2 linked regions of the Rattus norvegicus genome follow. The protein of the gene in region 1 interacts with the protein of each later gene in a pairwise test. Links are inferred from orthologs where the notes say so. Each region holds a gene or a part of one and is shown on either strand. Other genes may lie near its edges. The genes, in order: Ercc6l2 and Cyren.

Region 1 (15,329 bases):
AGCTTTCAAAGTTGAGTTCTCTTTTCCCATCAAGACTACTGGCCTGCCTCTCCTCCCAGTATTGCTTAGATCCAAGGCAGCTAGTTCCCACCAGTGCCTTTCTAGTCCCCTCTTGGGACTAAAAGTTAGGCAAGTAGAAAAAGGTAACAGGGCCAGAAATGGGGTGGTGCTCAGTGCTCCATTCTGAAACAGCACCATATTTTTTGGTATATATCTGAGGTTTAGTACAGAAGGCACTGAAAATACAGTTGCTAGGAAACAGGCTTATAATCATGTGGCCCATGCCTAAGAGGTCCTGTTGATTAACTAGGCATGACGACATCAGTCCTCTAATGATGATGGGGCCAGCTAGGGTGCCCGAGATCTTCTCAAAATAAGTAAATAAATAAAAATTTAAAACTACCAGAAGCTGGTGAGGAACAACAGGATGATAGGACTTGTCCCCTGAAAGAAACCAAATCTTTGTCCTATTATGGATCTATGCAACAAAAGGAATTAAAAATTATATTGGAAAGCTGCCAATATGCCAGGAGATACAAACTCAAGCACTAAATATTACATGCACTAGGTAGGTGCACAGAAGCTGAGGCACACATTGGCTACCAAGACAAGGTCTCCTACTCACTGCTATCCCTGAGTCTCTGCTGCAGGCCACGGGAGAGCAAAGTGAGCAGAGTGAGGCTCAAGCAAGGTATAGAGAGAGTCTTTGTTAACTCCTAGGTGGAAAAGTAGGGCTAGGAACCCAGTGATAGCATTTTTTTTGCGGGGGAGGGGGACTGGAAAAGGCCCACTGTTGATTCCAGATTTCCCAGCCACAAATTAAAGACTGGAATCCCACTCCTCCCAGAACAATGGGAACCAGGACTCATTTACAAGCAAAGGACAAGGCCAGAGATTGGCAGGCAGGTTGCAAAAGCATGGGGGTTGGGGGTGTGTTTGAGGGTTCTAAATAGCTTGTGTTGGAAGGAGGGACAGAAGAGTGCCTCAGTCTGTCTTGGGGTATCTCCTGTATAGGGCTAGTCAAGAACAATGTAATGACCAGGGGAGGGAGGAACACTCCAGTGTTGAGAAGCCAAATTTGGGGGGTGAGGGTAGGGGTGGAAGGATGGGGGTGAGGTGGTTGTGTTGGTCTGTGCTAGTCTGACTTAATGGCCTGGCCTACTTACTAACTAGCCCTGGTGTTCATCTGCTCCCAAGAACAGCTACTGCTGCAGGGCCTTCCACTCAGGACAGTGGTGCTTCTGGGAAACTCTCAGGTAGAAGAGAAACAGAGTTGGAGCAGTTATTGCCAATGTAGGGAGGGCTGTGTGGTTTCTTCCTCAATAAAACAGATAACACCTGCCCAGGAGAGCTCCAGGGCAGACTAAACGTAAAAAGCACTTGAAATGTTAAACAAATGGCAAAGTAAATGCTCAATAAATGAGAACTGATGCAGTTATTCCCCAGCCCAATCCCCTTTACCCTCCCTAACAGAGGAAATGAGAGGTTTACTACAGCGGAGGTCCCTATGTTTCAACAGGCTTTGGGGATGCAGTGTGGAAAATGGATTAGAGAGGGAGGAGGCAGAAGCCTGGGAACCCAGGGAGAAGTCTGCAGGCATCCAGATGGGAGGTGGAGGGACAGAAACTCAGGCTCTTGGCAGTGGGATTCAGGAAATATTTCAGAGACATTCTCTCCAGGACGTGATAACAGGTTGGGAATGGAGGCTTGGCAGAAGGCTCTGGCTTTGAGGGAAGCATGAAGGTGGGAGGGCAGGGAAGGCAACCGCAAGGCCTGTCCTAGAGGGTGTGTGGCCAAGGATTGAAGGCCCAGCCAGCAGGTCCAACAAGAGCAAGGGCAAGGCGTGCACCGGCTTGGGGAGTGCTTCTGGACGTGGGGGGCCCGCTTCCCGGGGCAACTGGCTGGGGAATCTTAGGTGGAGTTCGCCAAGGTGCTAAGTCGGATTTCCTCCTGGGCCAGCCTGCTGTGTGTTTGCGAGGCTTGCCTGGCTAAGTCCCCAGGGCCCTCGCTAACACTGCGCCTGGAACCGGCCAGGAGTTCCACCCTGCCAGTTTCCCACTTCCTTCCTAGCTCTGCTCTGCATCTCTGTCTAGGTGCTTGCGGGAAGGGGGGCGCCTTCGCCTGGCAGCTTCCCAAGACTGAGCGTTGGGGATCAGTTGAAAGTGATTTAGACAGCAGAAACCCGCGCCTCCAGGATTCAGGATTCAGGATTCAGGATTCTAAGCCTGAGGTCCACTCGCCCAGTCAACTGTGCCAAGCTGTGCCCCGCGGGGGTCCCCACCTGCTCCGACCTATTGACTGTCCATATACCTGCTTGGCGACCGACCACCGGCACTAGGCGACCCTCCCCACCCTCCTGTTAGGATGCTATAGGGACTCCACCGGATCCCTGCTTCAGGGCTTAGGCCCTTTGAGCTCCTGCACAACAAAAGCTGGACCACCCACAGCTTCACGCTGTGAGGGACGCGGGAAGCCGCCTGGCTTGTGGCTGGTGGCAGATAACGCGCCCCCCACTGGCTTGAGCTCAGGAGTTTTCCGTAGCTACTGCCAGAGCATAATTCCATTAGCCTTTCTTCTCTTTTAGGGCAGATTCTCTGTCCTGCCAGGGGGGCAGGGAGAGCACTAGGCCCCAGCTCAGGCTTTGTGGTTCCTTTCCGGGCGTTGCCAGCCACCGGAAGTACACAGAAATCCTCATTTGGGGCTCACAGTGTCTGCAGTTTGTCTGCAGGGTACGGCCAAGCTCAGTTGGCTGAGATCCATCTTGTTGCAGGCGGAAAATGAAAAGCCCAGGAGTTCCACCTTGCCCAGCCTCGAAGGTCAGCAGACTACTGAGTGGCAAACCTATCCCTGGGCTGGTTTTGATTTACCCCACAAGCTGGGTGTACCCCCAAATGCCCAAGAGGTTAATCTGTTAACTGTTCTTAGTTTGACTAAGCTTGCTCCCCTCCTATAAGGCCCCTCTGCTCCCTGGGGAGTGGAGTGGGCTTGGAGGCCTCCAAAGACTGGAAAGCTCTTGGAAGCCCATTTCTTCTTGTTTCCATAGTGGCAGTGCCTCACAGGGGTTGGGGAGGGGGCACTGATTTCTGCCAGTGCAAGCACAGCTCCCCCTCTCCAATATGCTCCTGCAGCAAAGTGTGAGTGACCATGGCCCTGGAACACAGACTCAAGAGGTTCTTATAGTAACAGGACAAAGGAAGTAATAAAATACTCCAGTGTGTGTGCACACATGTGAGAGAGAGAGAGAGAGAGAGAGAGAGAGAGAGAGAGAGAGAGAGAGGAGGTGGGGGAGGGAGTGAATGATGAGAGGGAGGAAGAAGAGAGAAAGGGAGGGGGAGGGAGGGAGGCAGAGAGAGAGAGAGAGGCAGAGAGAGAGAGAGAGAGAGAGAGAGGCAGAGAGAGAGAGAGAGAGAGAGAGAGAGAGAGAGCGCGCGCTCGATCAGGAGAGCCTACTGTTTTCTGAGTAGACAGTTCCTTCCTGCAAGCTCAGCTGAATGTGGGCAGGTACCAGACTGACATTTCAAGTGCCAGTCAGTCTCAATGCCAGGAGCTATTCAGACACTTTACAGAAGGACCTCCTTGCCTTTACCTATCTATATCTGTCACCTACACGACTATACCTGTCACTGTACCTATCACAGACCAGAGAAGCTGAGAAAAGGTACTAAATAATCTAATTGAGCACATTTCAGAGTGTGTAAACCACATATATTAAATTCAATGAAAGAAGTTTAAATTAAGATCAAATGTTTATTCATTTACATTTACTTAAGAAATACAAAGGTAGGCTATATATCTTTATTTATATTTACTAAATCACAGTAATGTGAAAAGTTCAGGTATTGCTATCCTGGCCAAAGATAGAAATCATCCCATTTCTTTAACACCATAGCACACAAACACTGAGTAGTTATAAAAATCAGCATTTTTAACAAATACCATATATTGAGTCCTAATTATTGAGTCTTAATTACAGCTTTTATCTAAAATAATTTTATAGCAATAGAACATAATTCCAAGGAAGAAGGAAAAACAGTAAGTTCTCAATGCCAATGAGGAGAGTGCAGTGGCTGCCACTTGACTTTGGGACATTCTGGAGTTTAAAAGTGGAAGGCTGTGTGCTGCTCTGGTTCAATTCTGTTATCTTTCACATAATGAATGGGCATGCACAGAGCAAGTTACTCATGTAAGGCCTTGGATTTACAGAGGACGGAAGACTCCCAGTTAATAATAGTTAAATTATGACAAGTTATAATGATACAATTGCATTTGTTTGGAAGATCAAATCTGGGGCAGGAGATGTAGCTCAGTTGTCCAGAGTGCTTGCTGGTATGCATGAAGTCCTGGGTTTGACCCCCAGCAGTGCATAAACTGGGTGCTGATGATTAAAACAGATATTAGGAAAAGACAACCCATGATAACATGCTAAGCTGATAAAATGACGCTAAAGCAATGTTAATACACAAGTTTGCAGACAACTGTTCTGCGTGCCCCACACACGAACATACACAGCCAGGGCCAGCAGCTCACTGGTATCTAATCTAATGGCACGTCCACGCCCTACTCTCTCTCCCTACTGCTTATGCTTTCATCATCAACATCTGAGCTAAATGTCTTCCACAAAAACTTCTCGTTTGCTTTCCAAAGGGAAGCTTCCAGCTCCTCTTTCCTTTTGGAGGCTGTGGTGCGGGGTGCTTTGGTACACAGTGTTTCTATCACTGCCAAGTCAGTGAGTTTGCTGAGACTGTCATCATTCTGCTCATTCAAGATGTCCCAGAAATCTTTTGGTCTCTGCTTTGCTTTTGCCACAGGTCCTGAAGGACCGTTCTTTGGCAGCTGTGTGGGACCTTCCCCATGGCTTTTAAAGAGGTCGTTAAGAATAGAGGTGTCACCAAGTAAGCCTTCTGTAGGAGTGCTTTCTGACACTGGGTTTTCTACTCTTTTGTTTCTCAGCTTGAAACATGGTCTGTTCCTTGAACTGCCTGCTCCTGTGAGGTCCCACTGATGTCCTGAGGAACCTTCTAGCTCTGTCTCTAGGGCTTCAGACTTGCTGTCTGGACAGAAGAGTGTCATGCTATCCTTGGGTGTGTGGTTGTTTCTCTCACTGTAAATCTCCTGAGTAAAGTTGACAGGTGATTTCTTAATCTCTGCACCACTAGAAAATGTGTCTTCTTTATGGGAACCATGATTCTGAAATCTGACTGATTTTCCTTCACATATTTTTTGGTTGTAAACTTGAGACATTTTGTTGGTGGAATCATTACATGATAAAGTACTATCATTTGAGGGCCTTTCTTTTAAAAGAGATTCTTTTCCTTTAGATTTGTTCCTCACCCTCTCTTCTTTCTCATGGACAGATTTCATCAACTCTGAAGCAGAATCCATGAAGAACTCCTTTACCTCCGGGTGCTGAAGACTGTAAAAGTCCCTGAGCATTCTCTGTTGCTCTTCAGATGTGGCGCTAGTAACTTGTTCAGCAAACTCCTTTACAGAGAGCTTGTAGAAAGAGGCCATTTCTTCAAACTGCTTTCTAAAGATAAGTCAGATTAAGCCAGTGGTCATTTTTTAATAATACATTTACATTTTATTTTTAAAGAGTTTAACAGGAAGCTGTTGAGATGGCTCAAAAGGTACAAGTGACAAGCTGCATTCAGTCCCTGGAGCCTATGTAATGGTGGAAAGACGGTCAACTCCACAAAGTTGTCCTCTGGCGTCTACACAGGCACAGGCTTTGTGGTCCATGTGCCCACACTCACTGTGATGGAGTTAAGAATGATAATGTGCTCCTTAGCAGTGACAGGAAACACAAAGGTTAAAGCAATGCGCCTCATCCCTCTGGAACATCAGCTTAACTAGGAGAACATGCCTCTTCCCCAATGCTACCAGAAACCATCTTTTAGCTCATTAAATCATCAGCTTTTTAGGTAACTCTGATTTATACTATTATATATTTCCTGGGAATTATGAGAGCTCAGCAGGCTACTCCTCTAGTTAGCCAATTTATGGCTAACGTGAGAATCATCATTTATACAATCTATTTTTTTGAGAATCTATATAGCACTCAAGTCCCATAGAATTACATTGTTAAAGATTGGCTTTGATAAATGGAAAATTCTAGAAAAATTAAATTTCCCCTTCCCTTTCACAGTATAGAATTTCATGAAGTTTTGTTGAGCTTAAAAAACAAAAACAAAAACAAACAAAAAAAAAAACCTCTATAAGTGTGGTTCTTTTTCCCCACTGTTCACCTTTAGTGCAGACAGCTAATCCTGGACGCCAGGTACTACTTTCTAAGCATGGTGGTGCACAACAGCAAGCCTAGTCCTCAAGTGGCAAGAGGATGGAAAGGTTGAGGTAGGGTGGGTTATGTAGGGTGACCCTGTCTCAGAACCAAAGGAAGCAAATAAGCAGAAAGAGTAAGATGTTATTTGAAGAAGTGGATTGCATCCTTGAGTAAGACACTAACAGACACTTCAATATGCACACCCATAAGTGGGTTTGGTAAAGTGGAGGTAGAAAATTATTTACGTTCCTTAAGCCACAGACTGCTGCTTTTCACAGGGAAGGATTTGGAGTCTGAATTGAACCTATTCCCTAAACACACTGAAGTCCAGTGTGAGAGCACTGGCAGAAGGACCTACAGGACTACGTACGGTCATGGGAAGAGCACGAGATCCCCAGAGTCACATCTCTCTAGGATGAGAGAAAAGAGAACTAGCATGATGCTACTTCTACAGTCTCAGTTTTGAGCCAGGCTTGATAGAACAACACGCTTATGATTCCAACATTCTGAATGCGAAGGCAGAAGGATTGATTCTCAATCATCCTCAGCTCTATGGTATATTGAGGCAGTCTGGGCACCATCAGACCCTGTCTTACCCCACCCCACCATAAATAAGAGGGAGTGTATTTTTTGCTGATGCCGTGTTTGGGCTTTAAGTCGTAAGAGCTCAGTATCTGTAGATTTGTCTTCAGATAAAACCAAAACCAGCACTGCAGCACGTATTAAAGGCCCCACTCCCTTTACACAGTCTACCAATTTCCTCAGAGTCCTGTTATGTCCAAGCACCACTGTACAAACTACACCATAGCAAGACAGACCGATCCCGGGCCTCACGAAGTTCCGTCTGGCTAAGAGAGTCAAAGCAATACAGTCAGTGTAGAATCTCATGATGAAGGGTAAATTCAGCTCTCCTGGCACTCACAGTGGATACCTAAGTACTTGCAGGGTAGGGAGAGGTTCTCTGTTGTCACCTCTACCTGTCAGGTAAGGATGAGCAAGAAGCATTCAAGAACTAGTTCTCATGGACCTAGAACACACCAGAACAGGTGAAAAGGCAGAACTGGCCAGCAATCATGGGTCTGCATTGTTAGTTTTTTAAAGGCTGAATTTTCTCTTCATATAACATTCTTAGGGTAAAACAAGGGTTTTTAAATGTAGGAGCATTCTAACCACAGCTTTTGTGATTTCCTGTTCATTTGGCTCTGCCTCCCAGGTCAGGTAACAGTCTCTTGTGGTTGTAGTGACAGCCTAAGGTGAGTGTCCACATTCTTTTGTGGCTGAGAGGTGTTCTATGGCTTCTGGAGCTCATGTCTTGTTCTATGTTCTACAGCTGATCAATAGTCTACAACAATATATTTCATTCCACGAATAACCCCCCGCCCCCACCTCAATTTCTATCCTGGAAACTGCCAATGTTCTTGTTGGAATGCAAGCATGTTCTTAAATGGTTCTGTTCTCATGTCAAATAAAGCAACAGGATGCTACTGTTCTGCCTACTACTCATCACCAAATCCATTTCCAGGACCCAGTAAGTATTTGTACTTATTTATAAAGATTTAGTAACCAGTGGGCTATTAGGTGATATATTTAATTTATCCAAGACTTGGTGATCTCTCAGCAGATGCCAAAGTAACTTTATCTCTGCTGTGCTAAGAAAACACATAATCTCATCTCACCTGTGACCCTGGGGCAGGTCACCCCTGGGAGGAGTGATGCTGCCATGCTATTTAACCCAAGGAGCCATTGAATGAATTGCCTATGGTTGCCCCTTACAGAATGATTTTTGGCCTTCCCACTAATTTTCCTAATTCTGGAACTTCAATAGGATTTTCTTTAAGAATTTAAGAAAATGCAATGAATAATAGAAACATAAGCTAACCACTTTTATCAGAGTAGCTTTAAGACAAGGGAAAATAAAAACCAAGTTAGGAATCTATAGCATGTCTATCAGAAGTCACGATGGCTAATATTTCAAAGGCTTTTCTGCATGGGAAGGATCTGAACTGTACCTGACACCCCCATGTCACTGCCTTGCTTTCTGAGGCTAGATGTGCTGACAGCCCTAGAAGTTTATCACTCAACTACTACAAGGAACAGCCACAACTGACTGACTGTGATGGCAGCAGGAAGGGGTGGAGTGTCCAGGCACTCTAATTAGTGTCCTGGAATTCTAATATTACTCTTTATCTTTCTCTAGCATGAAAAATTTCCTCTCTGGGTTGGGTAAGAAAACAATGGAAGGAAGCAAGAAGAAATCCCTGCTATACCTGCTTCCTTTTGAACAGACACCATTATAGGGACCAGACCCATGTTTCTTTAAAGACTGGGGAAATGTAGTTAGTCTTCTAGAAGAATCACTGACAACAATAAAAAAGCATTCCCTGCAGAAACCGCTGTTGCCAGGCAAGCCTGCCAGGCAGAATAAGGGGCTGCCTCATGCCAGCTCTTTGGGTTACTCCTTTTCCAGGCAGCTCAGGAACCAACTGTGAGCAAGAGCAAGTAGTTTCCACTGTCCACAGAGGTCATGAGAACCGGGCTGGCTGTGCCTGGTTCATCTCTTGACACCATTCTTGGTAACATTAATAGCTGTGTATGGAGACCCCACTGACTCACTCATTTCTTCACCTGACCCCTGGGGACTGCTTCAATCCCATGCTTGTCCCATATTCCTACATCTCTGTGATCTCACAATTTAGGAGTGAAGGCAGTAGATTCATAATACCAGCAAAGTCCAGGCCAGTCTGAACTACTCAGTGAGATCCTGCTTCAAAAGGATTTGCTTTTATTTTTTAATTATAAAAGTTCGTGTTTTCTGAAGTTTGGATGCGAGATATGATTATACAATATACATTTTATTATGAAACTGTATTTCTTCTGAGAATTAGCCTGAGGTCTAGCCACAGACAAACATACCTGCGGATTCCTCTTGGTGTTTCTCCAATGATGAAGGTAGTGTGGTTAGTACGGTAGACATCTTTCTTTTTCTGGCTTACAGGGTGGGATATATACAGAGGAGAGGAAATGTGCCCATCACTTGGTGGCTGGTCTTTCTTTGTAGGTATCACTGCATTTGCATTCACCTTACTTTTGTATGTCTGAAAAAAAAAGGAAGTACAATCTAAGCCTGAACAAAGCCGTTTTGGATTGATAAGACAAAGAATGTCACACTTACTTCCCAGATACTTTACAGTGAAGCAGGTCACATTATCCAACTAAAGCAACTTTTGGAGGATGGTAGTGTAGGCCAGTCAAAGGAAGAATACAGAAAAATGTGGTATTGCCTACTGTCAGGATTACAGTTGACAAACACACAGGCTGATCCCTATTACCCTAAGGATAATAATCAATGATTAAATGAATGAGGCTGAGTCTAGGCCAGGTGCAGCTGTGCAGACTCAGCCAGTGCGACAGGAGTAGAAAGACGGCCCAGTAGGCAGAGATTCTTGCATGAGGCCCTATGAGTGGATCCCACAGGGCAGGAGAGAACCAACACCAGACTTGTCTCCTGACCTACATATGTATGTTACAGCACACATGCATGGTCCATTAATAATATTTAAAAATAAACCAAAAAAGTTCACCTAATTTTTAAAATTTTGTATTTTTCTAAAAATTATGAATCAATTTTTGTTTAATTTTACATAAGCACACAAACTAGAAAAATAAACTGTTGGGTAACAAAAGGAAAACCAGCTTTTAAAGTCCTACTTCTCAGCCTCTGTTAGGCTAAAGAATATTCAGTATTTTAAAATATTGTCTACAGTTTGTAAGTTATAAAGAAAACCAAACTTACTTTACAATAATTTTATGGCTGTTTGTGAATTGACAGTAGGCAAGGAATCAAATGCTATATCTACTTCTAATCTCAATGACAAGTGTGACCAGGTAGGAAGTTCTATTCCATTCCAAAAATAAAAATAATAGATACAAATTTACAACAACAACAAAAACATATTTAACTTTAAAAGTGAGAAAAAGCAAGCCTGCTAGGTTCCAAAAGCAAAGAAATGAGAGAGCAACCACAGGTTAGCACTCTAGAACACAGCCTGACGACCTGTAAAGGAGCTGGGGGATGAGCATGATTTAATGTCCTGAAGTAAAAAACCAAAGAAAGAGGCTGGGAAGACAGCTTCACTGGCAAAATGTTCACTGCACAGGTGTAGGGATCTGTACAGGGATCTGCACTGGGCTGGCTAGATGGCTTGATGGGGTGAGGTACTTGCTGCAAAGTCTGATGACCCAATTTTGATTCCCAGAAAACACTGTGGATGGAGAGAACCAATTTCTGAAAATTACTCTCTGACCACTGTGGCACTAGCACATACACACAAATGTAACTTAACTAAATTAAAGGTATTAATATATCTACTAATAAAAGATCTAAGTGTGATCTGAACTCATCAAAGCTGAGTCCTGTGGTACATACTTGTAATCCTGATGCTGGGGAGGAAGCAGGAAGGTCTTAGGCCTCACTGTCCCAAGGATGGCAAGATACTTATGTGCACATATACCATAGGAGAAATATACAGGAAGCAGCAGCAGCAGCAGCAGCAGCAGCAGCAGCAGCAGCAGCAGCAGCAGCAGCAGCAGCAGCAGCACTGCTGAAGACGTAGCACAGTAGTAAAATGCTGGCCCAAAACATGCGAGGCCTTAGGTTCTATATCCAGCACTCCCCTTCCTACAAGAAGGACTGCTAATTTAAAATTTTAAAGCCAGACAAGCTTAAATAGGTACACAGAAGAGAAGCAGGGGCTACCTTCTTACTCTAGACATTAAGAATGTCTAGAGACAAAACAGAATGGCCAGCAGGTTGCAACTGGAGAATCTGATTTTGTATATCCTGGGTGGTAAGAAAAGCTATGCTGAAAATCACATAAAAACTGGCCAAGAACCATTGAAAACCAGAGTCCAATGAGGTGCAAACACAAGAACACTAAAGGAAGGCTTGTGACTTGGTGGGGAAAAGAATTCAGAAACTCACAAAGAACACTAAACCCCACACCTGTTAAGGCAGAGGTGCAGCCAATAAGAAAACTCTACTGCAGTCTGACAGTGAATCAGATGACCTGAGGGACACTTTTGAAGAACTTATCTGGAAAGATTAAACAATGAAACAAAGACAAACAAAAAACCCAGCAAGGCACTTTAGACAGACCAAATACAAACTTTAAGAAAAATTTAAAACAAAATAGGAACAATGTACAGGTTAGACAGCAGATAACCAGACCTGCCATGACAGTTGATGAACCAGGAGAACAAAGTGACTTAGAGTAGCACTGGCACTGAAGGGAGAAGAGACAGAAAACATGCTTTGAAATTCAAGGAAAGAATAGAGAAAATGGGAGATGATGTAACCACAGGGCAAAAAATTAAAACTTCTAATTAAAAAGAGAAGAAAGGATCTTTACTAGGAAAAATGAAAATAAATGTCCTCCTTTAGGTTACAGATAAGGAAACATTCTAAAACCTACTGGAGGGAGAGAGAATAAAAAAGAATCAGCAAATGTAAGACTTCTAATTGGCACTACCAGACAGAAAGGGTAATGTCTTCAGCATGCACACAGGCAGCACAACCTGCAATCACAACTGCGGCCTCACGACTGCTAAGGCCAGGCCCTATAGAGCATGCCTGTACTGTACTCCCAGCTACTTGAGGAGCTGAGGCAGGATTGTGATTTCAAGGTCAATATGCATCTGAGATACAAACACACTAAGGTATAATTGAAGCCGTATCCCAGAGATAGAAGACCTTTTAGAAACTGTGTACGTTTAGCCCCTTCCTTTTCTTGTATAACACATGTAACTTAACTTACAATCAAATCCTTCCCAACACCTTAACAACTGTATACAAACCAGCTCTACTGAAGATAAATGGATGTCTTCAGAAGCAACAGCGCTCTACCTGGACAAACAGTGACAGGCAGACAGCTGATAACAGCCAGGAATACAGAAAGCTGCTTTGCTAAGGTCATCAGGCTTTTAACATCATAACTGTCTGAAAACATTATCAATAAAGAGGAAAATACTGATCTTTAGGATAAATCCGAAAGAGATGTTATGTATTTATTTCCATCAGAAACAGGATGAAGGCTACAAGTTATGACAGCTTCTGATCCCTAGAAATGGGTATTCATTATTTTAAGAGATGAGAATGTTAACATGAATATAAAGAAAATAAGCAGAAAGCGCAATTGAGCCAACCAAGAACCTCCTTCCTCTTACGCTGTGATTTCTGAAGCCATGGAGAGATGGCACCTGCAATGGCTCTTGTCAATTGTTTATGCAATTGCTCTTTCTGACATTACAAAGCTCACATTTTATACACATCTAAAGAACCAGTTTTATAAATCCTTCAGGAATTCAGCCTTTGCAAACACAGATGCTGGACATATGGATCATTAGATTTTTGTGACATATTTCACAATTTAAAACAAGATTCTTAAAAGGAGAAAAATCATTTTCCCCCACATGAATTATTTTTTTTTTTCTTTCTTTTTTTTTTTTCGGAGCTGGGGACGGAACCCAGGGCCTTGCGCTGGCTAGGCAAGCGCTCTACCACTGAGCTAAATCCCCAACCCCCGCCCACATGAATTCTTTATCCTATCTTTTATTATTTTTAAAAAGATATAATTGTAGATTGCTACTTAGTAGATAAATTTACCATTTTATTGAAATTAAGTTGTAGAACATAAATTTGTACTTAGTCCAACTGTATTAAGATTTCAGGAATATATGTGCTGTCACTGTTATACTGAATTGTAAGTATAGAATGGAGGTGGTGAGTTATATTCTGATTGCTATTTAACAAGTTACCATGGTATTACTGGCTTGAAACAACATAAACTTCTGACCTTACATTACTATAGGTGTGTCTGACACGGATCTCACTGGGCTAAAATCAAAGTGCTGGCAGAGTTATGTTCCTTCTCTGAGGCTCTATGGGACAATTCATTTCCAAACTTCCCTAACTCTCAGATGCAGACCACAGTCCTTGTTTTCCTCTAACACTTATTTCAGGGTTACACCACGCTATGAGTACAGCCAGGGAAGATTCTTCTTGTGAGAATGAATGTGAATATACTAAGTCCAGCAAGATACTCTCAGCAAAGAATTCTGGTCAGTTAGCTAGTGTCCTTAATGGTATCCATCTTGTTAATTCAACAAGGTCAGCTTGATTCATCCTGAATTGTATCTACAACCTTAATTCTCCTTTGTCAGGTAAGGTAACATTAACGAGCTTCAGAGTCTGGCCATGGCAGGAATCTTAGGGATCAGGGGACTTTTTCTTACTAAGAGTCCTTTGCCGTGTCCACTGATACTATGAAGGTTCTGGGACTGCAGAGAAAGGTACTCTTGAGCCTTTTGAAGATCCATTTGCAAGGTGCGTATGTGAGCATCTATACATCTCTCCGACAGAAGAGCCTAGGACATTTTATCATTGTCTTAACGTATATGTAAACAGAAAGAATTATGAACTGCTGGTTTACACAGTTCCATTTATATAGTTTTAAAAATCCATATTTCTTTTGGAAAAAAAGTGTATTAATTTATAAACATCTTGGTGCTCTTGTTTTAGAGATGGCTTCAAAGTAGTATAGCAAACTCTTCACCACAGCTGAGATGGGCAATTAATGCCCGTGAAGCTTTAGCTGCACTGACAATGTTTGACTAGGACAGAACAAATCGAGATCATTTGAGCAAAGTATGGAGTCTTTACAATGAGATAACACTAAGCCCCTAGAACAAAGCAGACTAGGAATTTAAAGAGTAATACTGTCTCCTTTAACATTAGAACAGAGAGGGAAGCAAGCTAAAAGCACCTTTCTTCCTCTGGGAGAGCAGGGCAAGCAAACAACTAGATCACCGTGTTAAAACTGGATGGAAAATGTTGCAATTAAAAGGTGAAGGAAGAAAGCAAAAACCTGTTTCTGCACAGTCATAATTATCCCCCTTTCTATTGATTAGTGAATTAGTTGAGACATTGTTTCAGTATGTAGCCCAGGCTGGCCTTGAACTCACTATATAAGTCCCATACTGGTCTTAAGTTCACATTTTCTTGCCTGTCTCCTGTGTGCTAGAATTACAGACATGAACCTGGCATCTCTAATATTTTCTCCACTTTTTTTTTACAGTTTATATGTGAAACACTCCTACAGGCATGTGTTTAAACATTTGGTCCCCAGCTGGTAACACTGTCTAAGGAAGCTGTGGAACCTTTGGAATGTAGGCTTTGCTGAATGACATAGGCTATTAGGGTTTGCCTTAAGGGTTACAGCCTGGCCCTGCTTTTGATCCCTGCCTTCCTGACTTGCCACACACTTCTGCTGCCAGGAACTCTTGACATGCCTTCCCACCATAACAACTGAGGCTCTGAGCCAAACCTGTCTTCTCTCTCTCTCTTTTTTTTTTCTTTTTTTCGGAGCTGGGGACTGAACCCAGGGCCTTGCGCTAGCAAGCGCTCTACCACTGAGCTAAATCCCCAACCAAACCTGTCTTCTCTTAAGTTGCTTCTGCATATATTTTGTCACAGTGACAATAAAAGTAACTAATGCAGCTGCTTAAAAGATATCAAGCGTAGGGGAGATGGCTCAGTAGTTAAGAGTACTTGCTGCCTTGAAGAGGACTTGTGTCTGATTCCCAGTACCCACAAGGTGGCTCATAACCATCCATAACTCTAGTTCTAGGAGATTTAATACCATCTTCTGACCTCTGTGTCTGTGTGCACCAGACATGCAAGCAAAACACTTACACACATGAATTGATGATGATGATGATGGAGGATTCCTCTGGAAGTCCTTTTATTGTTGAGGATAGTTTTAGCTATCATGGGTTTTTTGTTTTTCCAGATGAATTTGCAAATTGTTCTATCTAACTCTATGAAGAACTGGATTGGAATTTTGATGGGGATTGCATATATCTGTAGATCTCTTTTGGTAAAATGGCCATTTTTACTACATTAGTCCTGCCGAACCATGAGCATGGGAGATCTTTCCATCTTCTGAGATCTTCAATTTCTTTCTTCAGAGGCTTGAAGTTCTTATCATACATA
Region 2 (16,123 bases), on another chromosome or scaffold:
GGTCCGAGATTAGGTGATTCAAGAATACAGGACACTTGAGAGGATGAGGTCAGACAGGCATCTGCCAGCAAGCAGCACATGCCCGCACCCCAGTTATTCAGGAGGCTTGCTTACTGGAGCTCAAGACCAGCCTGGGCAGTGCAGTGACCTCATTGCTAAAGTGGAGTTTACAAGTTAAGCTGACGCCTGCAGACAGCTCCATGAGTAATGAGATAATTGCCAGGTTGGAAACCTGAGTCCCACTCTCTGAACCCACACTTCGGAGAACTGACTCCTGCACTCGGTCCTCTGACTTCCACACTTGTGCTCTGGCCCACACGCAGATAAAACATTAAAAACGTAATTTACCGTTGGAAGGATAAATGTCTTCACAAATATCTCACATAGCATTAGTCATAAGATTATGACACATAAAGAACAATTTATAAAAAAAAAAAAAAAAAAAAAAAAAAAAAAAAACCGGGTTGGGGATTTAGCTCAGTGGTAAAGCGCTTGCCTAGCAAGCGCAAGGCCCTGGGTTCGGTCCCCAGCTCTGAAAAAAAAAAAAAAAAAGAAAAGAAAAAAAAAGGAGTAAAAAAAAAATAACCATTAGCTTTTACAGCTCCGGGAAGCCCTTAAAGACAGCAGGAAACAGTTCCCAGGACATAAACATGCATGCTAGAATGACACATGGGAAACGCACTCGTGCGTGGACGAGACCCTCACTGCAGGCGGGGAGTGCCGCTGTACTCTAGCCGGAAGTTGCAGAGGATTTTTAGCCTTTCTCCACACTTTGGCATGGTTTGACAGCTTTCAGAAACCAGCATGCATTGCTTTATTACAAACAGGAAGTTCATCTACAGTGGCCACCGTGATTCAGCAGTCACTAGAGCCTCTTGCTCTTCGAAGGAAGTGTGGGCTTATCATTATAGGAAATTTAGGTCCTTCGTGCTGGCGATGTGAGTGCCAGGGCGGTTAGAGAAAACAGGATGCCTCCAGGAGGCTGCCAGGACAGCTAGAAGAATGTCGTTGGGCTTTCAACCAAGTATACAGACACTGCGGCAAGGGAGTAGAAGAGGAGGGCTAGTCACCAGCCTCCCAACTCTGCATTCCCATATGAAGTTGAATGGAGGGCCAGTACTGCTGGTAAAATGCACGTCGTAGTCAGGGCCCCGCAGGATGCCCTGCCACTCGCGATGTATACCTAAGTATACCAGAGGGCATCCTCATTAATACATTCCAAAAAATTTCAAAAATTTTCACCCTTCTCGGGATGAAACAGACGTAGACTGTCCCTCGGGAACACTTCGTTCTTGTATCCACTCCAGCTTCCGCTTTCTTGTTCTCCACTCTGAGGGAGCTGGAGAGAGGCTGAGTGTGGGCACAGTCTGAACAGAAGAGCTTGACCACAAGAAAGCCAAGTGCAGAAGACAAAGAGACCTGAGCCCCCAGTAAAATTCAAGTTCTAAGACAGACCAGATGCTACAGGCACAGGAGCAAGGGCTGAACTCTGTTTCAAGGCAGAGCAGAGGAAAGCTCAGGGCTGGCTTTCTCCACATGCCCGGCCCTGTGTTCCTTCCACTCCCGTTTTCGATTGCTCCGTTCTCCATTGCAAACTCATGGGAAGTCAGGCGTGGTGGCACATGCCCATTACCAGCGTTGCAGAAGATGGGGCAAGAGGATCTTAGGGTCTGAGGCCAACTGGGGCTACACAGAGAGGTTCTTATTTCAGAACAGGGCAAAACAAAACAGTAACCCACCCACACCTCCAAAAGATCAGTTGAGAGTAAACGAAGCCACAAACAAGGGGTCCGGCAGGAGCTGTGCCGAGGTGGCCACGGCCTCCTCTAATAAGCCAAGTTCACTGTCCAACCTTGCCTCAGGCGTAACTGTCTAACCTAACCCACAGGATCCAGACCGGAGTCTCCCAGGTGGCACCCTGGCGTTTCCCAAGCAGTGCAGGCTGCGCACGGGTTATTTCCTACAGCACCACTGGATAAACAGGGGTCCCACACCCAGAAACCCACCCTACATCCTGAATACCTAATCCCTCTAAAAACATACCTATAGGCTTTGTAAAAAAAAAAAAAAAAAAAAAAGGTTCTGAATGACCAAAACGGTTTAAAATATGTTGGGAATTTTTTCATACCGTGGCTGCATGAATTAAGTATTTCGTCCTTCGGACCTAGTGAGGAAAAGCAACGGCTGCCTCTAACAGTCTCTGGAGCAAGCCTCACTGCTCCAAGAATCCCTAGTACATTCAAACAAGGCCTCTGACAAAAGCTACTTCTGAGACCGGAGGGAAGCCACAGCGACAGCCAGGAACTGCTCAACCCTGGGTAGAGACACTGTCCATTCAGACCTCAAAATGTTCTAACCGGACCTGTCTACTGCCCGGTGGCTGCTAAAACCAACCCCTATTGTGTCATATCTGAAGAAGATGCCCCTCCCTCCTGCTCCCTCCACCCCACCCCTTTAAGGCAGGCAAACATTCTTTCTCCCTTAATTCTTTCTGGTTCCTGTAAGACAAATGGGATACACAGAAATCTCACTGCACCTTGAGAAAGGAGCTGTTCTCCAGGAGTTCATTGAGGTCCATAGGGTCTGTGGGCCCTTGCCCACAATGCTGGGCTGCACCTAGCTCTGGGGATTAGGCCCATGGGCTTGGTGTGTGGGCCCTGGTGCTTGTGTCTCACAAGGTTCTGAGCTCTGCTTCCCGAGTTACTCCTGGTGTTTGTTTTATTCCTTAGCGGGAAACGCACAGAAATAGGCAGTGTGCAGACTATTTTTGAGGCAATTAGGAAAATCCCTTCTGAATAAAAATGAAAAGGGCTGGAGAGATGGCTCAGTGGTTAAGAGCACCAACTGCTCTTCCAGAGGTCCTGAGTTCAAATCCTAGCAACCACATGGTGGCTCACAACCATCTGTCATGAGATATGATCTTCTGGTGTGTCTGAAGACAGCTACAGTATACTCATATATATAAATTAAATAAATCTTTAAAAAAATGTAATGAAAAGGTTTTTCTAATGATAGTGTAGTAAAATAGGCTCTTATATACACTTAGAAAGAGGGCAACGGCATCTGTAGGTCCATCCTGAAATACGTACGTAATAAGATCACTAAGATGAGACAAATAGCTCTAAGTTGAGTATGTCTTTTTTCCCCTTCCTTCTTTCCTTCCCTCCCTCCCTCTTTCTTTCTATCTTTCTTTCTTTTCTTTTCTTTTCTTTTCTTTCTTTTTTCCTTTCTTGTGAGACAGGGTCTCTCCACATAGCCCTGGCTGCCCTGGATCTCACTCTGTAGACCAGGCTGCCCTCAAACTCTGAGATCCACTAGCCTCTGCCTCTGAGCGCTGGGATTGAAGGCAGGTACCACTACACCTGGCCCATGGATTAAACATTATGTAACCATTAATCATGTTTTGAAGAATATCTCAACAGCTATGAAAAATGCCCACAGCAGTCAGAGGAAAACCACTGGGTTTAACACTGTGCTTTAAAGAAATAACGATCACAGGGAAAATAATGCGGAATATGAACAGTGGCGTTACTATGGTGGTTAAGACAAAGGGTTATTTTAATTTTTTTCTTTTAAAAATTTCCTAGAATAATAGATTATTGTTGTTATGGGGTGGGGGGTGGGGGCAGACAGACATGTTTTGAAATCAACATCATTCAATAGTGTGATTTCATCCCAAGAGAGGTTCAGTTCCCAAATAGGGCAGGAGACACAGGCCACTGATCCTCCACCCAGGCTTACACCCAACCAACCGAGACATAGAGCTTTGCTGACCACGCACGCGCAGAGCACAGACACTGGTCTGACTGACGTGTGGCCTCGCTGGGCAGTTTTTCGGTTCCCTAAGTGGTTGTCTAAAGCAACTGAGCTTAGGTTCAGTCAAGCCTGGATCACCTACCTCAAGCTGCAACCCCAACTAACAGTGAGGCTTTCCCTTCACCCTCACACCTCTCAGAGAGCACCACCGGTTTGTGGGATCTCTGCTGCAGTAAACCCCTTCACCTGAGGGCTGTGGCTCAGGATACTTCAAGTTTCCACAGCTGCCCAGTTCCTTCCAACCGCAGACCAGTGGGCCACTGGGAGTGGGAACTGGCTGTGACTTGGGACCTCCCGTCTACACGAGGGCAGAGAGAATAGGAGCTTGTACACACAAGGAAAGGGCTGGATTCTCACTGGTGCCACCTTTTCCAGGCCTCCCTGCGACAGCAGAAGGAATGGCCATCTCCAGGGTGTGGCGGAACCGCCTGTCCTTCATGGCCATCATGATCCTCGTGGCCATGGTCCTGTCCCTGATGTCCTACGCTCTCCTCTGGAAGGCTGGCAACCTCACTGACGTACCTAACCTGAGAATCGGCTTCTACAACTTCTGTCTGTGGAAGGAGGACATTGGCTCTCTAGAGTGTTACAACTTTCCTGAGCTGGGGGTGCTGGGGATACCTCAAGTTGGCCTTGCCCTGGCTAGGCTTGGTGTGTATGGAGCCCTGGTCCTCGCAGTCTTCGTCCCTCTGCCTCTCCTCCTTGCCCAGTGCAACAGTGATGAGGGAGAATGGCGGCTAGCCGTGGGCTTCCTGGGGGCATCCTCTGTGCTGTTGGCCGGCGGACTAAGCCTCTTCCTCTTCTTGGTGTGGAAGTGGCTCAGGCTCTCCTTCCTGGGGCCTGGCTTTCTATCTCTGTGCCTGGCCCAGGCCTTACTCATCATCTTGCTTATGGCTATGGTTATGTTCCCACCACGAGATAAGAAGGACAAGAACCACTGGGAGAACTGCTAGTCCAGTCTTACAAAGGCTTATGGGATGGCAAGGGTTCAGTTCCAACTGTGCTCCAAGAAGGTGCCAGGGAACCCGTGGCTGGGTGGGTCCTTTCAACCACCTTGTGTCCTAGCCAATGTTGATCTCCAGCTCAGCAGACAGAACCCACTGAGCAGAAGACTGTGGTGTCAAGGAACCCAGAGGCTGCTTGGAGGGCCAGGGTACCTGCGGTTCCTTAGGTTACCATGGAGCTCATGCACCGGGATTCCTGCGTTAATCAACCAATCCTCAATAGCCCCGGGCACATGGGAGTCTGTCAGAAGCCAAATTTCCAAGCTGTCTTGGCAAAGTGTCAAACTATAACTCTGTGGTGGTTATGGCAACAAATGGGACGGTTAGAAAAAAAAAAAAAAAAACTGTTTCAACAGCAAGTCCTGTCAGCACTGAGCGAAGCCTCGCTGGCTTTTCAGGGCCCCCCTGAATGGGTCCCTGGACCTGACAGCAAACAGGAATCAGCTGTTACACCATTCTTGTGACTCAGGGATGCAGACGAAAAATGTGCCAAATCCTGGAAGGTAAACAGGGCTGACTAGTCACCACAAACACACAGCGCGTCCCCTCACCTTACCCAGACTGGAAAGGCTTAGAAGCACGGTCTTTATTATGCATTGGGGCTTCAGTATGTATCTTTTCAGTGTGTGTACCAAAAAAAACCCTAAGTGGTAACGAGTTCTTCACTCTGTGCTCATCAGTAAGCCAAAGTGAACCCAAAGAAACGTGGACTCTGGTGTGATCCTTTGTTCTGTTTCCCTTCCCTACTCTCCCCTACAGCTCTACAGGGACCAAGGTGGAGGCCCCAGGTAGAAGGGAGGTGACTGGTGGTAGACAGGACCTATTTGACTCAGCAGTCTGATAGAGCCTCCTGCTCTCGGATATGGCAGGGAACTGTGGGCAGCTGCCAGCGTGTTTGGTTGGAAGGGTGGAAGCTTGCTGCTGGACTGTATCATGAGGGAGACTGTTCACAGGTCTCTTTAAGTCTGGCTGCCCATCTCCAATACCCACGTTCTCTGCAGCTCTAGTTTTCTTTGCTTCTAGCCCAAGACTTTGTTTTTTTTACTGTGACTAAAACATAGGGCTGGCATTGCAAACCCTCAGAGCCAGAGGGTGGTGCAGGATAAGACTATAAGAGGATGCATGTCTGCATCCTGCTACAGAATTAGTCCCACCCAAACTGACAGCCTCCTGGGACTGGAAGTTGGGAGCAAAGTCTGGGTTTTCATGGGTGGCAGGGGCAGGAAGTGCCCACGGCTCTCCGCACATCCTAAAGACTCTCCGCAGAAGCAGCGAACAGTTCATACTAACTGAAAAATATCTCCCTGACGTACTTTAACTCGTCTTCCTCCTCCTTTCCCTCCTCCGGGCTTCTGCTACAGGGAGAGTTAGAAGCTTCTGGTCCCCGGGCAGGGCTGAGACCTAGTGCAGGAGAGTCGGTTCTGCTGTCTTCTTCCTCACTGCTGCTCCCTGGGGAGCTGGTGTGAGGGGACTCGGAACAGGGAGGGGAAAGCTGCAGCTTATCAGGGGCCACCAGAGACGGCTGTTCCCAGGGCTTTTCCTGTTTTCGGCCCTGCAGAACAGAAGAAATGGCAGTCTCAGAATAAGCAGCTTGTTTCCCGACAATGACGCACTAGATTGACAGTGCTATGGGTGTACTCTGAGCCAACAGAAAAGCCAGCGCGGCACATGACCAGGCCGGGCCAAGCTCCCACGCCATGGCAGCCACCCTTGATTCACCCCACACCTCAGGACCAGGACCCACTAGCGACAGATGCAGGGGCCTATGTATGAGGAATATTGGAGTAGAAGGAGAAGGAATCCAACTGAAAAACATGGCTGGAAGGGCAAGGAGCAAGACCACCAGAAGCCCAGGCCCAGAATCCTCTGCGGGCCTAACTGAGCTCCACCCCTAGCTGGCCCCAGAGCCTTGATTTCCTGGGGATAGCAGTATCCCAGATCAGCATAGTCTAGGTAGCCATGAGCACTGGGAAGATGATACACTGCTTTAAAACACACAGAAAACACGAGAACTCTGCAACTTCACGGCAGGGCTGCTGTTCCTCCCTCAGGAGCCCGGGACTCTTCCACAGGCCTTTGCTAAGGAGAGGCACGCTGGGGAGGAGTCCTCTTACCCAAGTGGGAACCTTCCCAAGTACACGAGTGAACACTGTGCCCTTCACATACATGTCAGTGTAGTTACCCACAGGTGCCTGCTCTCCCTCACACCCGCGCCCCACCTGCACAGCTAGTCTCAAAGGCTCACCCCATGTGATAAACAGCACACACAGTGGCTGAGGGAAAGCTGGCTGAAATGAGGAAGCAGGAGGAAGATGTGGGACACTAGGCAGCCTGGGGGGAGCACTTCTCTTACCAGGAGCAAGGGACCTATGCTAGTTCCTACCTATGAGCCCTAGGAGTCAGAAGAGACAGGACTGACGTTACCTCAATCAGGATCCCCAGCGCCACATCGACCATTTCAGCTTCATTCATGCAGTACACTGTCTCCTTGGCCGGGGCTCTGAAAATAGAGACGCAAAGCCACAGCTGAGGGCGGAGGGACTCAGAAGGAGGGTGAAATGGAAGTAGCCCCCAGGGCATGGGCGAGTTACTGCTTCTCTGAACTGAAGAGTCCCCTCATCCTAGTGGCCCAGGGACAACGCACAAGGCTACCTGCCCTCCACCCTCCATGATCTCCCTCACAAAGAAGAGGAGTGGGGATGGTGGCTGGCTTCCCACCATTGCTCTTTCAAACACACAGTGGTCGGCCAGGTGTGGTGGTGCACCGTAATTCCAGCACTGGGGAGGTGGGGGCAGGCAGAGCTCTGTAAGTTCCAGGCCAGCCAAGGCTACAGAGAGAGACCTGTCTCAAAAGCAAACAGAGGATACAGCAAACACAGGCCATCAGGCCAGAGCCTGATTCGTACCTGAATGTGAGGATATGTTTAGACAAGGGCTGTGAAAACTGTGGAGGGCACAGGTGGACAGGAAAGAGCCAACGAGTATAGCACTGAGGATGGCAGCGCTCTCCCTCCCACTTGATAAACACCGCCCCCCCCCCAAACTACCAGCATTCACCTCACATCTGAAAATTTGATTGCCTGCCTGAAAAGCTCTGTGCTTCATTGATCTCGCTTTTATCACAAATGAGAGCTTCTGGCTTCTGGGGGCGTGGCTTGTTTACAGAGCTCACTGCCAGCTAGATGGCAGCACCTCACCAGCACAGAGCTCACCAACAAAGCACTCAAAGCGGTGCTTCTCTGTGAGGGGCAAGCTGAGACCTCAAGGCACTGCAGGAAGGACCCACCTCATTACCCTGCCCACTCTGACAGGCCAGGAGAGCTACGGAGAAGCCCTCTTGACCTCAGGCTGTCCCACCTTGTTGCTGCCCCAACTCGAATGGCTGCTGTCTGCTTCCTCTTGGCTGTCTTCACTGATACAACCTTTCTCTCATTCCCAGGGGCTGTCATCCACGAGGGGAGGACCCTCTTTTTGTTATCGGATTTTAGGGTTTCCATTGCTATGGTTTTCCACACTCAGGGACTTGCTTCTCTACAGCAGGACCAAAAATCACACTCTCATCACACCGGGCTTATCTGACCCCAGTGGGAGCCGATCTTGAATGCCTACAAGGAGGAACCAAGTCAGTAGATTCTAGTAAGCCAACGCTCTTTCAATTTACCAGCAATAATTACTGGTCAGTGTAGGGCAGGCCTAGGTGACCCAGAGGTGAGCAGAGCCCAGAAGGCCACGTACTGCATCAAATGGAGGACTCGCAGCAGATAGGACAATCGGGCCTGGGGATGAAGTTCTGTGACCCCTCCACTGCTCTGTGCTCCACAGGTAGTTGGAGCAACAAGAAATGCTTTCCTGTCACTTCTGCATCCCAGGAGGAAAGAAGGAAGGGAACTCTGGTCTCCCTTTCCTCTGCATCCCATGATGATCTCTGTCACAAACTTCTCACTCGCACAGTGATTTGGTCACTGTTAGCATGTTAATGTTCCTTCTAGGCTCCACCAACTACCTAGCAACACTCAGGTTCTATAAGGCTGGCTTGCTATAAAAGGGCTGTTTGGCTTCTCACTCTCTCTGACCCCTTTCTCTCTTTCTGACTCCCCCACCCCCACTCCCAACTCCGCCTTTCCCCCTTCTCCAGGTCTCTCTCTCTCTCTCTCTCTCTCTCTCTCTCTCTCTCTCTCTCTCTCTCTCCCTTCTCCTCTCTCTCTGTCCCTTTCTCTACCTCTATTCCCTTCCCAACCACGCTTCTCATGACCCCAAATAAACTTTCTTTTATACTAGACCCATCATCATATGGCTGATACCTGGAGGAAGGGGAAGGCTCGGCTAAGGCACCCTCTTCCGCCACACCATACTGCATTTCACAAAACATATCAGTTACTAAAGCCCCCAGGCCTTCTAATTCACAGATTTCATTAGCTTCCCCTACCCCCAACATACACCACTAGAACATTCTGGCTCGCTCAGAATGACCGTTTATAACTTCATTTTAAAACACACAGGAAAACTAGCAGGGCATCATCCTAACCTGTTCAGCCACAGAACAGAAGTCAGTAAGATGAACACCATCCAGTGAGTGCCAGTGTTCAGAAATGAATCAGACCGGGCAGTACTTGTACCATCACGTCCATTTTATAGACAAGAAACAGGCGCAGTTACGCGTTAACGGGCACAGAGTCGCAGCAAACTGAACATCAACCATCGAGCCAGGTCCTGCCCACCGCAAGGTTTCTGGAACTCAGCGCTGATGGGGTCAGGCCGGTTGGATCCCAGGAAAATCTCACTCAGAAGGCACACGCGGGCTGTCGCTGCACTAGCCCGGTGCTGGCCGCGCCACTCCCTCCCTACCGCACAGGGCGCGGAGCCCGGGTCTGGGGACTGGATGGGACCGCGAGCAAGAGGGCAGAGCGGCTCTGCGCTCTTTTTGGTGGGTTCCGGGATTTAGAACCGCGAAGCGCGCACGCATCCCACCGCCCGCCCCTTCCGGCTCCTGCGCGCTCGCGGTGCGCGCGCCCCCGACCCGGCCGCTGGCTGGCACCGAGGGCCTCGGGTGCCCCCTGCAGACCACCGGCCACATCCGCAGGCCCTGGTTTCTGTCCGCTGTTGTGGCTGAGGAGCAGCTGTTGTCTCTTAGAAAGCACCCAGAGTCAGTAACTAGGGCGGTGCAAAGGGCTTCTGGCTTTGATAGTCCTGCTAGGGGATCCCCAGGAGACCAAACTTAACGGGGTGCCTGACAGTTCAGGGAGAGAAATCAAACTCCCATTTACTGTTTACATTCAGGTTGGCGGTCCAAGGTCCCCTCTGCAGAAGTGGAGGAGGCCCCAACAAGCTCCCAGCTGTCTGGGGTCTTTTAGCTAAAATCACTCATGATTTAATGCAGACTGGGTGGTTGGGAAAGAAGCCACAAGAGACGACTGAAAACACAGGAGTGGGCCGTCACAGGGGAGGTTCTCTGGCACCCTGGAGCAAAGGGAACCTCAGATCTGATTCTGTCCGCCTCCAAACAGAGAAATCAAGACTATATTCGATTTACAGCAGCAGGTCAGCTGTAATCTCCAACTGCACTCTGGACTGGGGCACCCGCGGCTTCCCCGTCGAGCAGGTTTTCTCCCCTGCCTTTCCCTGGCCCTACTTGATCGCTAATCCTCAATCCTAAACGGATAGTCTGGACCAGGAAATTTAAGTTCCCAACTTTCAATGGGACAAACCAATGGCTTCCAATTCCACCAGTGACCCCTAGGGTCATTTCAGCTGCTCTTGAACCAGACCAGACTTTTCTGGGAGGGCAGGCCCTGGCTTTCAAGAAAGTAGGGTCCTCAACCTCACCTGATGTGAGCCAAGCAAGTCTAACGCCGGATGAGAGGGCAGCCTTCCATCCTTTGATTTCCTTTGATTCTTAAAACTCCCCCAACCCTGCACATTTCTTCAAACTTCTCCATGGTCACCCAACAAATATGGCTTAAGATGAGAAACCTGTGTGACTTCATACAGAGTCTGTTGCCTGCAGAGACCCCAGCAGGAGTGAGGAACCAAGCTGGGAGGCTCGCCTATGCTGGAGTCCACATGGGTTTTATTATTTTTAAATTGGCAGGTAAATGTATTAGAAATAATAACAAATGTCAGTCAGCTTCATTTAGTCAGCCTGAAATGTAAGCACTACTGTGCTTCCAGACCTCATGCCAAGCTCCTGGGCATTTGAATGCCACAAGGGGCCTGGGTTTGGGGCTGAGCACAGGCAGGGAAGGGGAGATTCACACCTGCCAGACCAGGTTCTCAGCCCCTGGAAGAGTGGCTTAAGGTTTGCAATGTGACCTGCCTTCACTTGAGGACAGCAAAAGAGGGAGCCTTACTAAGGCCCTTGAGGGTTCCAAACGGGCGCTTTGAAGGATGCACTCTTCCTGGGAGGAGTTGGAAGGAAGAGGCTCTGGAGTGTTCCTTCTGTCTCTGAGCCTTAAAACCACTAACTCAGCAAGTTGTAAGGAATGCACTGGGAAGGGAGAACAGACCGTTTAAGACAGAAAAACTAGAGGAAAGGTTAAACCATGGCTCTTGACTCGGACGAAACCCTGGACCACAAAGCTGGGTGAGACAGATGATGAGGCTGTGGAGATGTCAGCCGGAGTGGAGAAGTGGCAGGGAATGGATTGAGTCTTCATGTCGGTGTGGTCATGGGTAAAAACAGGTACGCATGAGGTGACGCAGCAGGTAAAGCCACTTCCCACGCAGCCTGGCCACCTGAGCTTGATCCCCAGTACTCACAAAGGTGAACAGAGAGAACTGAGTCTACACTGAGTTGTCTTGTGACCTCTGCTGTGGCATATCCCACCGCACCCCACCCCCACCCAACACACACGTGACTATGACACGTAGGCTTTTTCCTATATATTGCTTTCTACTTTTCCTTCCATCCCAGAAGGGAGCCCAGGCCTAAGCACTCCTGCTTTTTCCCTATGTAGGCACCTGGGAGTTACCAGCCCAACAGCCCACAGCCAGCCTGGAGCCCAAAGAAGCTATCAAATGACTATTCCAAGCAGTCACTGTTCGTGGAAGTGGCATACCCTAGTCAGGTAGCAAGGTCACCCACGGCAAACGTGGGAGGCCCATGCCAGGGCCCAGACCCACTGACCCTGTAAGGGCTCTTTCATGAGGCTGGTCTCAGCAGTAGGATGTAGAACCCTCCTCCCAAGTGAGAGACCAGAGCACAGGTTGTGACAGGAGTACAGATGTAGCTGATCCAGCTACGCCCGGCAGAGGTGCAGGCAGCTGGTATTACTCAAGCTCAGACACTTCAAGCTGGAAAACTGAGGGAGCCACCAATGAGAGTTCTGTGGCCAGAAGACCAAGGGGAAAGGGTAGCTGGAGGCCCAGATCTCAGGCCTGTTGTCTGGAGAAGCTTCTTAACCAACAGCTTTCAGGTTCTGCAGAAGATATCAGATCTTGGTGTGGGGCCAGAAGAGGGCACTGTGGTCTACACCTCAACTCTAACCGAGTTCTGCCAGAACCTGGGCAGCTTAGCTGAAGCACAACAACCAAAGCAGGGATCTGTGACAATCACTAGGCCCAGGTGACTCACACATTCCAGAAAGAAACACCAAGTGACAGTAAGAGCATTATCACGCTCCGATTTTCTTCCCTTAAAAAGAGAAAAGTAAGCAATTATGTACAAAATACAGTCAAAGCCTCTTGGACTGAGCACGGTGCACCAGTGTGGCTCCTTCCTCAGCGTCTGTCCTGTGCTCTGGAGCGCACTCTGCACAGACTCCTGCTCCAGGAGCTGCGTTTGGATGACCGAGCCCCCTCGGTGGTCTTTCCTGAAGATCCGCAGCCCTGGCTTGAACCAGAGCCCTGTCTTGTCCCCCGTCTCATCTCTCTTCTGCCAGAGACAATTCTGTTTCCAGTGTGTCACTCCAGGCCGGAAATCAGAGCTTATGTGCTAGGAGGGTAGTGAGCTTGATCTTGCCATCCATGGAGGCAGTGAGGCACGTCCCACAGTCCATTGCAGTGCTCCAGTCCACGGTGACCACAGGGGCACGGTGGCCACCCAGGCTCAGACAGTTTTCTAGAACTTTCTCTTCACTGCCCAGCTGCAGAAGGACAGGAGTGAAGAGGCAACATTAGCAGATGTCACTCGCAAACATACACACTTCAACCCAAAACTTTCAGTGTCCTAAAACTACCTTGAGCCTGGGAGTGGGCACCCCAATCTGAGGATGTGGCCTGGCCACACCCCCACTTTTCTGGAAACCCTGTTTATACCTTCGCTTTCCAGACTGTAGCCAGACCACCTTGTGTGGCATCTCCTCTGTGGCCTTGACCTATCTATCTGCGGGCAACTGCTCCTGCACCTACCCTGTCTGTTCCCACATCTACCTGCTATAGAAGCAACTGCCAGCTGCTGGTTGATTCCAGACTGTGGACAACTCATTGATCTGAAGCAGTTATTACCGTAGGCATGCAAACTTTGGGAGGGCAGGACCTCTATGACCAGTCGTATCACTCCAAACATTGCCAGGCACAGGAAGACTTTGATGGATGTGTGAACAAGTCTGCTGTTCAGTGCACACGCGCACGCACACACACACACGCGCACACACACGCACACGGTCTAGAACTGTGCACATGTGTGAAGGGCCGGATGCTAGCAGGTACTGCACTGGGAACCAGAAACAAGATGACTCCTAGTAACACTACTCTATGAAACCTGTGAGCGAGCAGCAGAAAGCATTTGCATTCTTGAAGAGATCATTAAAGAGCCATCATTTAAATTATTTATGGATCATGAAAATGCAATCTGAAGTTTAGCAGACTCCTTAAGTAACTGGAACCATTCATGACACTTTAAAATTTACCCAGGAACACCTGTCAACCCATCACCTGATCACAGAGCAACTCTGTGCATCACATAAACTGATGGGGAAAAGGCTGCGTGACTTAAAACAAAATGCATATCCAACCATTCCTCCACATGGACAACAAAGAACAGCTCTCCCGGAAGCCAACTAAAACAAGCCTTAAAGAGGAAAACTAGCTTGTAACTGGTGTTTTAGGGTATCTTGAAGGAGAGACCCACACGCGAGATCATGCAGTTAACACTGCAGGGAGGGCGAGAACAAAGTAATGCTGTCCTCTGTGGGAAGAGGAGCCCTACTGACCCCGGTCTCACTGAGCAGCCTTCAGGTCTGTGTGAAGCTCCTCATTCCCCGCCTCAGCACCCACTCAGCCCAGAGAGCCCCCAAGAGCCACTTCCCAGCTTGGGGCCCAAGGAGTCCCCCCCACTCCTACGTTCCCAACCCCTTTTCTTTCCAGTCCACAGACTGCAGTCTCCCTCTAGGTCTTCCTGAGAACTTGGTCCCCACCCAGGTTCTCTGGGAACTGCTCAGGGCTTAGCTGTCTGTCACCTACTCTCAGTGCTGTCTAACTTGTGTCTGAACCCCAGGCAAGCAGAGACAACATTTTTTAGCTCCTTGGTCCACTCCGCAGGACAGTGGTGCCGGGCCTAGCACAGAACTACTGTTCAAACCCCAGCTGTTTGCTGACTGACAAGCGGTGGCACCAGACACTGAAGGACCCTCTGTCTCACAGACTAAACACTACTGGCCAGGAAACATTCTCTGAGGAGCACTGAAGGGGGAGAGGAATTCACAGCACCAGACACGTGGTCTTGGGCTCAGTCCTCAGCACTCATCCCTGGGTGATCCGAGTGAAAAGGTCAGCATTCAGTCTCTCAGGGGTACAGAGCCCTGAAGCAAACCAAGCAGCGCTGGTTACAGAGGTTTTGTTTGCTTGCTTTGTTCCCGTTTGTTTTTCCAATCTATAAACAGGAACAAAAAGAAATGTAGACAAGCCAACAAGGAGGCTTAGTAGGTAAAGGCATTTGCTGCCAAGACCAAAGATCTGAGTTCAATCCCCAGAAATCACATGGTAGAAGGAAAGAACTGAGTTCTACGGGGTGACCTCTGAGCCCCCTCCCCTTGTCAAACATGTACCTATACACAAAAATAAAAGATAGAGAGACAGATAGATAATTAGAGGTAAACAGATAAATACAACCCATTTGAGTCCGACTCCTAGCATCCCTGTCAGGCTGTTCACAACCACCTGTAACTCTTAAGTCTATGGGATCTGACACTTTCTTCTTGGTACCGCCACACACATGTGCATAAATACATACAGCACACAAACACAAATAAAATAAACTTGTATCCTAGCTTGACAAAGGACACCCTTGAGTTTCTGTCTCACATGTAGACTTTGGTGTACTTGACCCATAGGCCTCCTGCAAACCTATTCTGACTCAGTGATGAAAGCAATCTACCTAGCCCGGACCCATGAGACCCACAAGCCCACAGTCCCAAGCCCTTCGCTCTACTGATATCTTGGAGAATATGTATTATTTCCAAGGAATAAGACAAGAAAAGGACAGAATCTTATCAAATGCAGGGCACAGGGCACACTCAGCTATGCAGGACAGAGGACACAGGGCACACTCAGCTATGCAGGACAGAGGACACAGAGCACACTCAGCTATGCAGGACAGAGGACACAGAGCACACTCAGCTATGCAGGACAGAGGACACAGGGCACACTCAGCTATGCAGGACAGAGGACACAGGGCCACACTCAGCTATGCAGGACAGAGGACACAGAGCACACTCAGCTATGCAGGACAGAGGACACAGAGCACACTCAGCTATGCAGGACAGAGGACACAGGGCCACACTCAGCTATGCAGGACAGAGGACACAGAGCACACTCAGCTATGCAGGACAGAGGACACAGGGCACACTCAGCTATGCAGGACAGAGGACACAGGGCCACACTCAGCTATGCAGGACAGAGGACACACTCAGCTATGCAGGACAGAGGACAGAGGACACACTCAGCTCAGGTCAGCCAAGCTGAGAAAAGTCCCTACCCACCAGTCCTCTGCCACCCACTTACCTTGTAGATGAGGCCCCCTGTGGCAGAGCACGTCAGCATGTAATTGCCCTCTGAGTCAAAAGCAAACAGCCGCCCCCTGGGAACTTGGACCTGCTTGTAGCCACTGTAGCCAGACAGGACAAAGGGGCCAGTGGCATCTGAAGGGAGGCTGTACTCCGACACCTTGAGACCACTCTTGTGGATGTTCCACTGGATGAACTGCAGAAACAAGGCACAACAGGGGCCACTCAGTCACACACAGGTCACTCCCCAGACACCCTCAGAGCCCCCAACATGGTCACCACCTTGGCCTAAGAGACAGAGCCATGGTCAAGCTCGGGCAGTGAATGACTGGGACAACTGCCTCTCTCACCGGTTCCACAGCC

The links.
Region 2: the proteins of Ercc6l2 (region 1) and Cyren interact in binary tests that used the Homo sapiens proteins (3 or more experiments, as listed by UniProt). The two-hybrid records come from large-scale screens. The link is inferred for Rattus norvegicus from reciprocal best matches to the Homo sapiens genes ERCC6L2 and CYREN.

What each region holds. Positions count from the first base shown.
Region 1 is NC_086035.1:1,218,412-1,233,740, forward strand, and holds the end of Ercc6l2 (DNA excision repair protein ERCC-6-like 2), read right to left. Parts: intron 9,376-15,329; coding exon 9,194-9,375; intron 5,528-9,193; coding exon 4,558-5,527; 3' UTR 3,728-4,557; downstream 1-3,727. UniProt on the Homo sapiens protein: Promotes double-strand break (DSB) end-joining and facilitates programmed recombination by controlling how DNA ends are joined in a spatially oriented manner during repair.
Region 2 is NC_086022.1:64,509,091-64,525,213, forward strand, and holds Cyren (cell cycle regulator of non-homologous end joining), read right to left. Parts: upstream 9,653-16,123; 5' UTR 9,387-9,652; coding exon of another isoform or gene 9,346-9,386; intron 8,426-9,345; 5' UTR 8,318-8,425; coding exon 8,178-8,317; intron 7,321-8,177; coding exon 7,245-7,320; intron 6,373-7,244; coding exon 6,106-6,372; 3' UTR 5,387-6,105; downstream 1-5,386. Other genes in the region: Tmem140 (transmembrane protein 140), read left to right, coding at 4,215-4,769; Wdr91 (WD repeat-containing protein 91), read right to left, coding at 12,737-12,901, 15,759-15,956. UniProt on the Homo sapiens protein: Cell-cycle-specific regulator of classical non-homologous end joining (NHEJ) of DNA double-strand break (DSB) repair, which can act both as an activator or inhibitor of NHEJ, depending on the cell cycle phase.